2 linked regions of the Yarrowia lipolytica genome follow. The protein of the gene in region 1 interacts with the protein of each later gene in a pairwise test. Links are inferred from orthologs where the notes say so. Each region holds a gene or a part of one and is shown on either strand. Other genes may lie near its edges.

Evidence for each region.
Region 2: the proteins of YALI1_F24469g (region 1) and YALI1_F01838g interact in binary tests that used the Saccharomyces cerevisiae proteins (3 or more experiments, as listed by UniProt). The link is inferred for Yarrowia lipolytica from reciprocal best matches to the Saccharomyces cerevisiae genes DOP1 and NEO1.

What each region holds. Positions count from the first base shown.
Region 1 is NC_090775.1:2,441,527-2,448,887, reverse strand, and holds YALI1_F24469g (uncharacterized protein), read left to right. Parts: upstream 1-1,728; coding exon 1,729-1,780; intron 1,781-1,970; coding exon 1,971-6,793; downstream 6,794-7,361. Other genes in the region: YALI1_F24486g (uncharacterized protein), read right to left, coding at 1-102, 146-274; YALI1_F24478g (uncharacterized protein), read right to left, coding at 795-973, 1,027-1,066; YALI1_F24413g (uncharacterized protein), read right to left, coding at 6,879-7,361. UniProt on the Saccharomyces cerevisiae protein: Required for traffic between late Golgi and early endosomes, and for the normal structure and organization of the endoplasmic reticulum. Required for normal cellular morphogenesis.
Region 2 is NC_090775.1:180,167-185,514, forward strand, and holds YALI1_F01838g (uncharacterized protein), read right to left. Parts: upstream 3,642-5,348; coding exon 576-3,641; downstream 1-575. Other genes in the region: YALI1_F01796g (uncharacterized protein), read left to right, coding at 1-338; YALI1_F01849g (uncharacterized protein), read left to right, coding at 4,754-5,348. UniProt on the Saccharomyces cerevisiae protein: Flippase that catalyzes the hydrolysis of ATP coupled to the transport of lysophosphatidylserine, phosphatidylethanolamine, and phosphatidylserine from the lumenal to the cytosolic leaflet of the Golgi apparatus membrane and ensures the maintenance of asymmetric distribution of phospholipids.

The sequences.
Region 1 (7,361 bases):
CCCCATCTGCATGATTAAGGGAGCGAAAAACTCGATCGGCCATGTGTTTGCTACTTGTACCTTCGAGGCTAATCGTGACAGGGCGGAAGGAGAGGGAGTGTCCTTGTAAAACATTTGCCCTGATACAGTAACTGGCTCAACTCACGCAGGGTCTTCCCAGATGAAAAAATAGCCTTCTGTTTGTGTCAGTTGAAGCTGTCTGTGGCTGGCTGAGGTCTGAGACAGCTGAGGCCATGGATGGTGCTGAAGGCGGCGGTAGTACAGATGTCGTCATACCGCTTTGTCGCCATCATCTAGGCCTCGTCCCCAGGCTGGGTTCTCCTTGACCCAGTCTACGTCGTCTACTTTCTCCACCACTGGTCCATCTCGACTTAGTGAATACCGATCGAGCCTATTGAGCACGACGGTATGCAAAACAATGCCGCGAGCTCATTAATGAACGCTGTTGCTGCATGATACCTGTAGCGGATGGACTTGACCCGGGAGCCGTGGGCCTTAATTCGCTCGATCTTCTTACCAACCAGCATCCCAAAAGAAATATGCTGTGTGAGCGTTTTTTCACCGTTGCCGCTATAGCGCCCAACCTACAGTTAAGACTCATCATCTCTGTCACCCATAGATGGTCTATAGGTTGCTACTCGGGGACAACTGGGAGACTTGGTCCAAAAGTGAACGTCTTTCTGACAGCACAACCGGGCCACAGCTCATCACGCACATCCTAACGAACATATATGAACTCAGGTGGAGTAGCATGTGCAGATTGCGGTCTGTGGTGAATCCCAAAGGGGCAAGAATCAATTAATATGGCTGTAAGTTAGCCAAGCGTTCGTGTAAAAAGCCTCCTGCAGGGTGTGGTTCCTACACCGGGAAGAGATGGCACGAGACCCAATCGCTGGCGATGAACTACGGCAGATAATAGGACAGAGAGTTCGATAGTCAATAATTTCGGCCGTGCTAGACATTATGAAATGGTCTTATTCACCATAAAAGTCAAGATTCAGTTCCGACTATCGCTCTTAGTCCCACCCTTATCGAGCGTTACGTCCATGGGGTTTAGCCAACGCATCTGCAAAGACGTTCTTCTGTTTTAGGAAAACGAATGAATAATATACCTCTACTATCGCTAATCTTCTCTTCGCAAGCTTAAGATGTGAATTTGTCATCTTACTCAGAGATACAAGTGTCCAACTGTTGAGGTGGTGAAAACAGTACACACCGTGAGGTCTTTCTTTCCATAATTACAAGTTCCCCGAAAGTGGGTTCCTATTAATAGGTTAGGGCATCAAATCTAACCTACCGTGGAGCTTCTCAATCAGCATGACTATTCCCTTTGCTCTCTACTGTGCTTGTATCATTTTTTTATTTTTATTTTATTTTTGGTCTTCCGGATGTCTGTCCGCGCTTACGTAACCCACGGAATTTACTTAATCCCCTAACTAAAGCTAACAAAAAACATCTGAAACGTGTCACTCTCCCATCAGGGGGTTAGGGTAGTTTCACGTGTCTACCTTTGCCGGAGTGATTAGTCAGGTGGCACGACAAAAGCGTTCAGAGATACGATATCGGGTGGTCGCGGATCTGGAAACCCACTCATTCCTTCACTCTCACTCGCCTCTTGACGTTACAATATGTGTCCTATTGTTTCCACCCAAGCCTGCCATGCACACGCATCATCATGCTGTGTGTATCTGAACCTTCTGTCAGCTACAACATAAGGGTATCACCAACATGTTTCGGTCAATATCGCCATTGCCATTCTGGTCCAAGGATGCGACCCAAGGTAAGTATGAAGAGGGTTATGGCACGCAAGCTCTTTTTTTGTTTGTGTCTGTTCTTCTTACAGCACTGAACGCCTCAACATGAGGACATGTCACGAACGCGTTAGGGGGTGGTAGAAGAGATCCACAGCGATGATCCGGCACTAACGACGACTGTTCGAGTGTGTGCAATGACAGGACTTACTAATTCAGACCCAAAAATGAAGAAATACACGTCAGCACTAGAGAAGTCGCTGGCTTTATGGGACTCGGTCGACGAATGGGCAGACTACATTTCGTTCATTGGCAAGCTGCAGAAAGCACTCAAGAGCCATTCCAACCCATCCTACCTGCCGCTACAGAGCGAAATTGCCTCCAAACTGGCCTGGTGTCTGCTGCCAAACCTGCCGTCAGGAGTGCACCAGAAGACCCTGGAGGTGTACCGTCAGGTGTTTGAGATACTGCGAGGTATCGGCGACTATCACAAGAGTCTGGACGGCAAATCGGTGGACCCCGTGGCCCAGGGAATCAGAGTCTGGCTCCCCGGACTGCTCCCGCTCATGGCATATGCATCCATTAACGTCAAGCCCATCTTGATTGAGGTACTTCAGGAGGACATTGTGGAGAAGCTGCCTCAAGCGACTCTCAAAACGACAATTCGACCGCTGCTGCTCTCACTGCTTCCCGGTATCGACGACGAGTCAAGTGAGTCATTCCAGGCGTGCTTTGATCTCATTCAGAAGCTCAAGCTACGTCTCCATGATGAGCCCTACTTTTGGCAATGCTTCTTCCTCACCATTGTATCCGCTCCAGATAAGAGGCAAGGAGCGCTGGTTTATGCATACAAAGAACTGCCCCAGTTCTCCAAGGTCGAGGGCATCAATGAATCCGACAAGATCATTCACAGTCTATCCTACGAAGCCCAGTCAGCTGTCACTCCGGAATGTGGCCTGCTGATCCGGGCCTTCTGTCGGGGGCTAGAGGACGACCAACTCCTTGTCCAGCGAGGTTTTCTGGAACTATTAGTCAAGAACCTGCCTCTCGATTCTCCTGTCATTACAGGCCTGGCCTCTAAGAGCGACATTTCTCTGCTGATGACAAGCGCATGTGCCGCCGTGCTCAGAAAGGACATGTCTCTCAACCGAAGGCTGTGGGCCTGGCTTCTTGGACCCGATGATGTTTCCATGAAGGAGTACTTTACAACACACGGCCGAGATGCGCTTGTCCAGGGCATCCTGGCTCTGAGTTCGCCAGTGAGAGCTTCCAAGATTTCTCTCTCGTTGATGGATCGATGGGAAATTGGATCTACTGTGATTCCAGAGATTCTGACACCCATTATCCAATCTGTCTACGACTGTGAAAAGAGACCTGACTACCAGGATATTGTGTTGTCAGCCTCCGCCTTTGTTGACTCAGTGGAGGCAATCAACATTTGGGCCGACATTCAAAAGATGCTCAAGACTGGCTCTCTATCTTTGGCTTTATTCACACTTCAAACCTTCAATCTTTCGGACGAAGAGATGATTGTCAAGCATGCTCCTTTGGCACTACTGAGCCATCTTCTGTCTGGACGTTTTTCTCAGTGGAAAGAGTGGAACGAGATTGCTACTCTGTTGATTGAACTCATCCCCGAGCGGGCATTTTTACCAGTGGAACATTCGACGCTCACTGATGGCGATTTCCAAGTGTCCACTATTGAGTCCAAGGTCGAAGAGTACTACGATGGCGAGTGGGCCGATGGATATGGAGCTGCTGATGTTTACTTGTTGCTTCTACAGACCTCCACTCGCTTGGCTGATGAGTTCTTCCAGAAGGTCACTGCTGAATGTAGTAATAACCCAGCCATCTTCTCCAAGCTTGCACTCATCATTTCCGAGCTACAAGCCAAGCAGGTTTCTGGTTTTAAGTCTGAACAGCTGGAAAAAACTCTACAGCTGGCAGGTGAAGAAGCAGTGGCTCAATTCGACCCCTTCTCCAGCTCTCCCCTGCCTTCTCTGCCTCCCGTGGCTGTCCTGGGATGGACCAGGCTGTACCCGCTGTTCCCAGCGAATCTTCTTGCTCTGGTAGGATACATTTTCACATCATTAACCCCCAACTCACAGTACTACAACGGCCCTTTCCACAATGCAGAGCTGGTCAAGGCGTTGTGGTCTCTTCAGGCTGTTCACGGTAGCGATGACAGGGAAGTGGAGGCTGCTCTGAGTATTCTGTTTTCGAAACCCTGTGATGAGAAGTCACAAGTGTTTTCGGCTATTTGGCAGCACTCTCTTTCGGCACCCAACTTCTCCAAGTTATTGGCTCGACCCTTGTTCCTGTATCTCGACTTGCTTCCTCTTCCTACCTCTCAGTTGGAGCTCTATGGCAGCAATGCAGGCAAAAACAAATTCCTCGCCTCTGATGTGTCGTCCAATGAGCTGATTTCCCTGGCTTTTGCATCGGAGAAATCTCTTGCTGGCTCTTACTGGCTCAACACAGTGGCTTCGAGCGGGTCGTGTGATAAACTATTCTCACTTCTCCTAGACCCTCTGTCCAAGTCCGCATTTTTCAGCCGGCCAACCGTTGAAGGCAAGCTGCTGTTTGAAGAGTCCGATGACCTGGCTCTTTTCGCATACCACGTCTCAGCTCTCACGAAGGTTCTTTCTGCCAATAATTCTAGCATGGCCAAATTCCATTTCAACAAGGAGGAGGTGGAAGAATTTGACATCAACGATTACTATGAAGGCAAATCCACCTATGCCGCTTGGACTGCCAACCTGATGGCTCATTTTCTGCAATTCCAGGCTGTTGATACGCTGGCATACAGTTCAGCTCTGTCTGCAGTGCTCAAGCTGTGTTCCATTCTGCTTGATTCGCCTCTCTTCCCTACTTCCAAAGCCAATTGGGAGGTATTTGTGCGCGTGTTGGTGACTAAGCTGTCTGACTTGGTAAACCAGGACTCGGAGCTTCAGGTCATCGTGCTTGCAGTTCTTGCCAAGGCTCTGCAGGCCTTGGATCTTTCCATGACGCTTTCCAAGAGCGAAAAGTTCATTGGAAACGGTCCTGTGGACATCCCCTTGGTGTCTGAAACCTCAGATGTGAACATTCCCGGTGTTTTTATTGCTGTTGTTCTGCATGGCTTGTCTTCTCGAAAGGGCGTTATCATCAGTTCGGGATGGATTCACTTCCTAGAGTGTCTGCTCGGAATCTACTCTACTGATTTGTTCCAGATTAGCATTGCTATCGTCGAGAGACTGTGTGCTCTTGTTGATGGTACCCCCGTTGCTTCTCTGCAGAAGCTTTCTACAGGCTCCAGGGAGGTTCTGGTCGAAGTTGACGACAAGGACGGCGAGAAGGACCCTGCAGTTGGCGATACAGTCACTGATGTCACGGCACCTCTGTCTGACTCCATTATTCCTTACCTGACAGGTCTGGAATACTGTCTCGAGTCCCTTTATCTTGCTTACACCAAGGTCGAGGCTTCGCAGGAGGAACTAAATCTCAACTCCACGGGGTGGATGACCAACGTGGTCAATGGTGTCTTATCTCTGGAGGAGCCTACAAAGGGCAATGGCTACAGAATGATTGTTCTGTTGTGTTTCCAGAATGCCGTCAAGAGCTGCTTCAATCTGTGGCGGAAGGTCGATGGACAGGAGGCCGAGGAATACACTTTGGACAGCGTTGTCTACCTTGGCCAGCGGTTGAAATTCCGAGCTCGAAAAATTCTCGACAAGCTGTTCTCTTTCGAGCGAGGTGAGGTTCTTCAAATGCTGATCGAGCTTTCGGAGGATGATATGCCCCATGTGTTGAAGGTATTGCATGTTCTGGATGGCTCTCGGCCCAAGCTGTCGGTGAGCCAGTTGCTTCAGAGTCTCTCAGATGACCAGAAGAAGTCAACGGCCTCGTTCCTTTTGGCTTATGTGAAGTCTCTATCCAACGACGCTGTAGAGGACATTTACACGGACTACATGGGTTTCGCCCGAACCGTCATGCTGAACCCCGTGCCCTACAAGGAAATCTTGTCTCCCACCGTTCAGACCCTCACTATTATTGGAGTCAAGATTGATGGCAGCAACTTTGCCAACCGAAAGGTGAGCAAGGAAATCTCTGATGCTGTTGTGAAGCTGGTCGGACAGGTTACCGATGAACAGACTCTCATGAAGGTGGTTCCTGTTCTGCGAACGATTCTCATTGACCAAGACAAGGTGAGTTCCGTTTTGCAGGGCATTGTGAACAACGTCGTGATCCCCAAACGGTCTTTTGAGTTACTCGGCGTCATCACTCAGATCCCAGGAACCGTCAAGGTGTGGAAGAGTGCCGTTCACGACTTTTTCATCGAGGACAACTTTGTCTACGAGGCTCCCTGGCCCCAGATTCTGTCCAAGTGGTCCACGTGCACCAAGGAGGTTTCTGAGCTCATCACCGGCTCATCTGGTGTCTTCAACTGGGGCTCTCGAGGTAACAGTGTTCGACGTTTGTGTTACCTGTTGCTTTCTGGCCAGGAAGACCAGTTTGTGCTTCATATGAAGGAGATCAAGGGCATTCTGGATGAGATTGAGCTCGAGTCCTTGTTCATTGCACTGCGTGCTATTGTTATGCGGTTCTCTGCCACTCATCTGGTTCCCATTTGGCCTCTGGTTGCCCACAACCTGCAGGTTATATTCGAGGGTCTGCTGCAAGGTAAGGAGACGGATAACCGAATCGTGATGAGTGCCTGTAAGCTGCTCGATCTTGTGCTGGTGCTTAACCAGGAGGATTTCCAGCTGGATCAATGGCTGTTTGTCACCGATTCCAGTGATGCTATTTACGGACACCCTTACGGTATTCTGGATCAGTTGGCTGAGTCTACGCCTGTCAGCAGTGATGATCTTCATCTGGAGGAGACTTCCAAGCGACGGCCTTTGCTTTTTGGACAGAAGATTGGTTCTCTTACCTCTCTTGCACAGCTAAAGCCTTTCTTTGACCGGCTCTCCATTTACAACTACGAAAGTGTTTACGCTCTCAAGGAGACTGATCAGGAGGCTTGTGAGCTGGATCTCTTGGCCGATATCCAGGAGTAAAGATGATATATTATACTAAATAGATTAATGAATGAATGATATGTATGCGTGTGAAAAAATGTAATTAATATGCAATGATGGTCTACTACTTCAGCTCGAATCTGTAGACACTTAGAAGTTCCCTGCCTTCTTTTCTTTCAACAATGCGCGTCACGATCCATCCCAGTTCCCTCATTTTGACAGCCACTTGTTCTGGCTTGTTGCTTGCACAGAACAAAATGTAGGCGATTCCGTTCTTTGACAGTATGGTCTTCAGTTCTAGTAGCACCTTCCAAGTCACCTGCATTCCGTCTTCACCTCCAAGAAGTGCCCAATCGACCCAGTCACCATCTGTCTCCGGGTAGGGTTCTACGGGCTTGTCGTCTGGCACATATGGAGGGTTGAAGACCAGTAGATCGATGGTATGAGGTCTCATCATTGTGGTACGTTCTCCACGAAGCGCCTCGAGGTACTGGGTGCCGTTGTTTTCTTTTGACGTGGCCAGAACCTGGTTGCATGCAAAGGGGCTGATATCTGTAGCCAAAAAAACGCCTTTGGGCACCACGGATTTCAGCATGAAGGTGGTGAC
Region 2 (5,348 bases), about 2.3 Mb from region 1:
TCGACATCCGGACCCTGGTGGCCGGCATGTGGGTGCTCGAGAAAGTCTACAAGGAGGCCATGTTCTACATTGCTTCTGAGCGGAAGAAGAACATCAACTCACCCAAGGCAGTCCCCGAGACCATCGAGGGTGTGGGAATCGACTCAATGATCTCATGGTGGGCCAAACCCGACTTTGAACAGTTTGTCGAGAAGCTGGGTGTGCTGGCGAACAAGTTCGATAAGGTGCAGTTTGATGGAGAGTCTACAGAGCACTATGAGGAGGTGAGAAAGCAAACCAAGGCTTTTGCCGAGCAGCTTCTCGAGATGGAGAAGAAGTTCTGGCCTGTCCTGGAGTAGAAAAATGCGTCTGAGTGAATAAATGAGTTGTGTATGACGGTCAACGTTCTATGTACACTTCTGAATCAGTAGTGTATCTTGTATGTATACTATATAATAGGAGAGCTCATAATTGAAGCCCCTCTCGTGTGCTTCTACTGTACCATAACTCACACTCACAACCGACAGTAATATTGCGTATATTATTGATCTAACGTTCCGATACCACTCTCCTCCTAATCTAACATGCACTGTCTATTAAGCATCCTGTACCTTGGCATAACTAGGAGGCTTGAGTTTTGCTTTTATGGCCTTGGCAGCCCACACGGGGATAAGGGCAGCCGAAAGAATGACAGCCACCTGCCAGTATAAGTCTGGCTTTTGAAAGTATTCGAGGTTGAAGTACTCGCCCAGAAACGGAATGGAACCGCAGTATAGCCCGAGAGATACCACCTCGGTAATTACCATGGTCTTGTTCCACTTGATCACCTCCAGAGCCACCATGAACAGCTCGTTGAGAAGTAGACCCGTGTATGAGACAGCAACCATGGTGGTGAAGAGGGTCTGGTCGAGACCGGTGAACACCTGGGCCAGTCCTTGCACAATGATACCTTGGTACAAGGAAATGAGCACCCAGATGAAAAAGGTGCTCCATGAGAGCGACTTACCCTCTGTCAGCTCCTTATACAGCTCCGGGTAGAGCTTGGCCAGGTGCTCGTCCACATCTTTATCGAGCACCAGCGAAAAGACGGGCATCATGGTGTACACCGTAGCATAGCCTACCATGAGCCATCCTTGATAGAGAGCCAGAGGCTCGAATCGAGATGACACAGAATACACAGTTTGACACACGGAGATAATGAGTCCTCGGTGAATGACAAACAGCGCCAGTTTGGCCGACCGTTTGTATGAGTTTCTTCCATGCCAAAGCAACAGCTTGGTGAGATGGCAGAACTGAGTGATGGAAAAGTCAGCTGCCAGACTGGCTTGTCGGCCCTCTTTTCCAACAATACCAACTCCCACGTCGGCAGCCTGGATCATGGAAACATCGTTGCCTCCGTCTCCAATACAGAGCACCCGTTTCTTTGTATGCTGTCTGATCAACAAGGCCATATCTGCTTTCTGCTGAGGATGGCATCGACAAGCAATCACTGCGGGGAGTTTTGTGGCCACAGTAATGAACTCGGTCTGGTAGAGGTTCAGGAACTGCTGTAAGGACTCTCCGTCAATCAACAGAGCAGCATCAGTCTTGAACTGCAGGTACTCCAATTGATCCAAAGCAGCCTCGCGGCCCTTGAGTTTTGTGATTGTGTGCACATGCTGGCCACGTGACACAAGTTTGGACGATACGGCCACACATCGAGCCGTCTCAACCTTGTCTCCGGTCAACATCCAGATTTTGATGCCTGCGTTTCGCAGGAGCTCCAGAGACACCTTTACGTCCTTCTGGAGTCGGTCCTCGACACCAGTCAGACCCAGAAGCTCCAGATCGTGCTCCAGATGCTCCGTGATCACGTGAGCGATCGCGTGATCTCGTCTATGCATTGCCATCTGCGCCTTCGCATATGCTTCAGAAAAGGCCTCGTACGACTTCTTGGACAGCCGCTTTCGGCCCACCACCAGTGTTCGTAGACCCTCGCGAGCCATATTTGCTGTCTCCTCCTCCAGCCAGTCGTTGGTCTGCACAATGCTAGCCATGACGGTATCGGCTCCCTTTTCAAAAAACCAGTAGTCGTCTCCATCTCGAACAACAATGCCCATTCGTTTCGATTCGGATGTGAATGGGAACACGTTGAGAATCTCGTATTCCCGTAGCTGGCCGGTAGATTCCAGTTGCAAGACCATAGAGCTTCTGTCTCGACGAACAAGACGAAGGCCGACCTCGGCAGTCCAATTGACAATGGCAATTTCATCGGGAGATGCAGCCTGATACGTCAGAGTGCCGTCTTCGTAGGAAGGAGTGACAGAATGACAAATGGCCAAAGCTGTGACAATGTCTTTGACTCGGTTTCCGATCTCTCGTCTTGATCGAGGTCCGGCTTCCCCGCCAGAGTTGACAAAGTCGCGCACTTCGTCCATGGCCTCCCCGGCGTACGAAACAGTGCCCACATGGATCTTCTTCATCTCCATGTCGTTCTGGGTAAGTGTTCCTGTCTTGTCGGAAAGCACGTACTCGATTCGGCCAAGGTCTTCGGGAATGGTGGATGTTCGCACAACAGTGTCTGGAATGGAAGAGTCATGCTCAATCTGGTATGCGTAGACCGACTTGGCCATGTCGAGGTTGACTCGGAGAGAAACAGGGATGATTGTGGAGAAAAGAATGAGAAAGCGCATCACGTCGACGTACCATTCTTTTCCAAATCCGTGGAGTGCCACAAGAACAAAGGAGAGCAAGAAGACGCAGAAGCAGAGCATTTTCGACAGAGAGTTGAGCTCGAGTTCAAGCAGACCGGTTTTAGTGCCTGCTCGAGATGTGTTGAGAGCCTGGCGGGTTTCTGCGCCTACGTAAACAACGATTCCAACGGCTGTTCCGCTGGCGAGAACCGTGTTGGCCCACATTGTGTTGTCGACTGAGAGACCCATGGAGTCGGTTCCAACAGTGACCTTTCCTTCAAATTGGTGGATGGATTTTCGCGGCGGTTCTGCCGTGACTGTCACGAGATCCTTGAGATCGGTTTCCGACAGCTTTTGGGTGATGTGAGGTGCGATTCTTAGTTTCCAGTCCGTTTCACCGTCGAGTTGATCGGTTCGAATAAAACACTCAGCTGATTCTTCCGACGACTGGAGAAGCACCATGTCTGCGGGGACACGCTGGTCTTTGTGGATCTGGACGAGCTGGCCGACATGGATGTCACGTGAAGCGACCTGGGTCACCTGATCCAGAACCGTGTAAGTTTCTGAGTTTGATTCATTGTCTCTTCGTCGTCGCAGGATGTCGTCCCATGCCTCCTTTCCCATCGTTACCGTCAATACAAAGGCCAGGGGAACGACGTAGGACGACAAGTAGCCGATCCGCAGTGCCGGAATGGCCTGCGACAAAGCAACCAGCAGAAAATAGAGATTGAAGAAAAACTTGAATTGCTCATAGAGAATCTTTGGAATGAATGACCAGGGCGAGTACTTGGCGTTGGACACGGCGTTGGAGGTGGACAGATCGGGATGTCGCGGGTCGATGACCCGTTCTTCTGCCTCGGCTTCTTGATTGTGACGGTTGCGATGGTCTCGGTGTCCTCGCCGCTCGGTCTGGGGACCGTCGCCAATCAGTGGCACGCTGTCCTCGTCCATGTGTGGCTGTAGATTGGCCAAGGGGATACTTTCCGACATACGGCGGGTGTATTGGTTGGAGAGAAAAGTGACGCCCTTGACGTACACGTGGCGCAGTAGACGGACAGGCTGATGGGGGAGGGAGAGTAGTCGTCGGTGTGTTCGTTTCACTTTGCACGGTGGGGCACGACTCTCGGGAGGAGGTCGTCTGCACTAGTGGAGGCGTGGTAGGGTCGTCACGTACAGTCGTAGTGTCTTGTTATGCCTTCTGCGCAGTGCTGTGGTGTTGTGCGGTTGTGCTGTATGTATGTTTTATGCACACTAATTATACCGTCCCTCCCAAAAAAACGGCCGCTGACAAGATCTGAACTAAGCACCTATAAAGTTGGCATATAGGGGGGTACAGTCAAGACAAGAGACCTGAGAGAGGTTCTAGAGAGAGATATGGAGAGGGGGGAGGGTGTAGTATGGGTTACGTGACTCCAAGGATTGCTGTGGAGGGTTTTATCTATTAATCCCGTACCTAAAGGGTTTGTTAGAGACACCCGATAAGTTGCTCTACATGGTTGAATGTAGAGGTGTGAAGGTGACTATGACTAAGAGGCACTCCATTAGTACAGTAGCTACGAAGCAAGGACTGGTGGAAATACACACCTGTCTCACGTGATTCTATTAGGTCTTGTGATGTGACTTCGTACAATTAATCAATCTACGAATATCTCGAGGCTATGTTGTGTCTGACTCGAGGGTCAGGCACGTGTTAGGTACAGGTAAGTGGGACGTGAACTAAGAGTAAACAAAATGACTCACATAGAGACGAAACAAGCTAACTATTGCAGTCAGATGGTCAACTAATTAGTTTGATGTAAGTTGAAGACCAAGTAAAATACGTACACCGATATCATTCAATGAAGCCATTTTGTAGGTCTAAAAACGTTCAAATACACCAATATATCGTCGAATAACACTTTCTTATCACTACAAACTGTACCCATCGCAGCTAACACCCCTTCTTCTCGCCTAGTGCTACTCACCACTATCTCCACAAGGTTTGAAATTTGGCGCTGAGCATAAACGACAAGCATGGACTATCGGAGATTCACAACACCGCCAAATACAAGTCCAACTAACACAAAAAGAGTGGAAGCCATCGGATAAAATCAGCACACATAATGAACTCAACTCCGGCCAATTCAACGCCTCTACCGCCATTACAACCCTTCACACCAGGCTCCTCGGCTGCAACGCCCGCACCAATAGCTCTGACCAGGTCCAAGCCCCGTAGACGGCTGTCGTCGAACGTGGTGGGTGTGTCGGACCGGCGGCGGCTGCTGCAAATGCTTCAAAACGTGGAGGAAGTGTCTCCAGGTCCCGATAGTGCAAGTGAAGCGGGAGAGTCGCCGTCTATTCGATCTCAAGATGAAGCACATCTGGAACATCTTTCTTCGGCGAGAATCTGCATGGATGAAGACAAGGAGCTGTTGATTCATCAGGCGCTACCAGCATTTGAAAATACGCTGCTTCGGTTCGTACAGGCGTTGTCCAAGTACGACTTTCGACAGGATCTGGCAGAAACCCTGATGGAGACAGAATCGCAGTTTTGTGAGGCCGTGGACGAGCTGGTGGAGCACCAACAGGCGGCACAGACAATCGCGGCACTGGAACGTGTCAGTGAAGGGTTGGACGACAAGATTCGAGACATGATCCGCAAACTGGCAGAGTGCAGACGAGAGCTGCGAAACTACCAGCCCAACAACGAGAACCAGT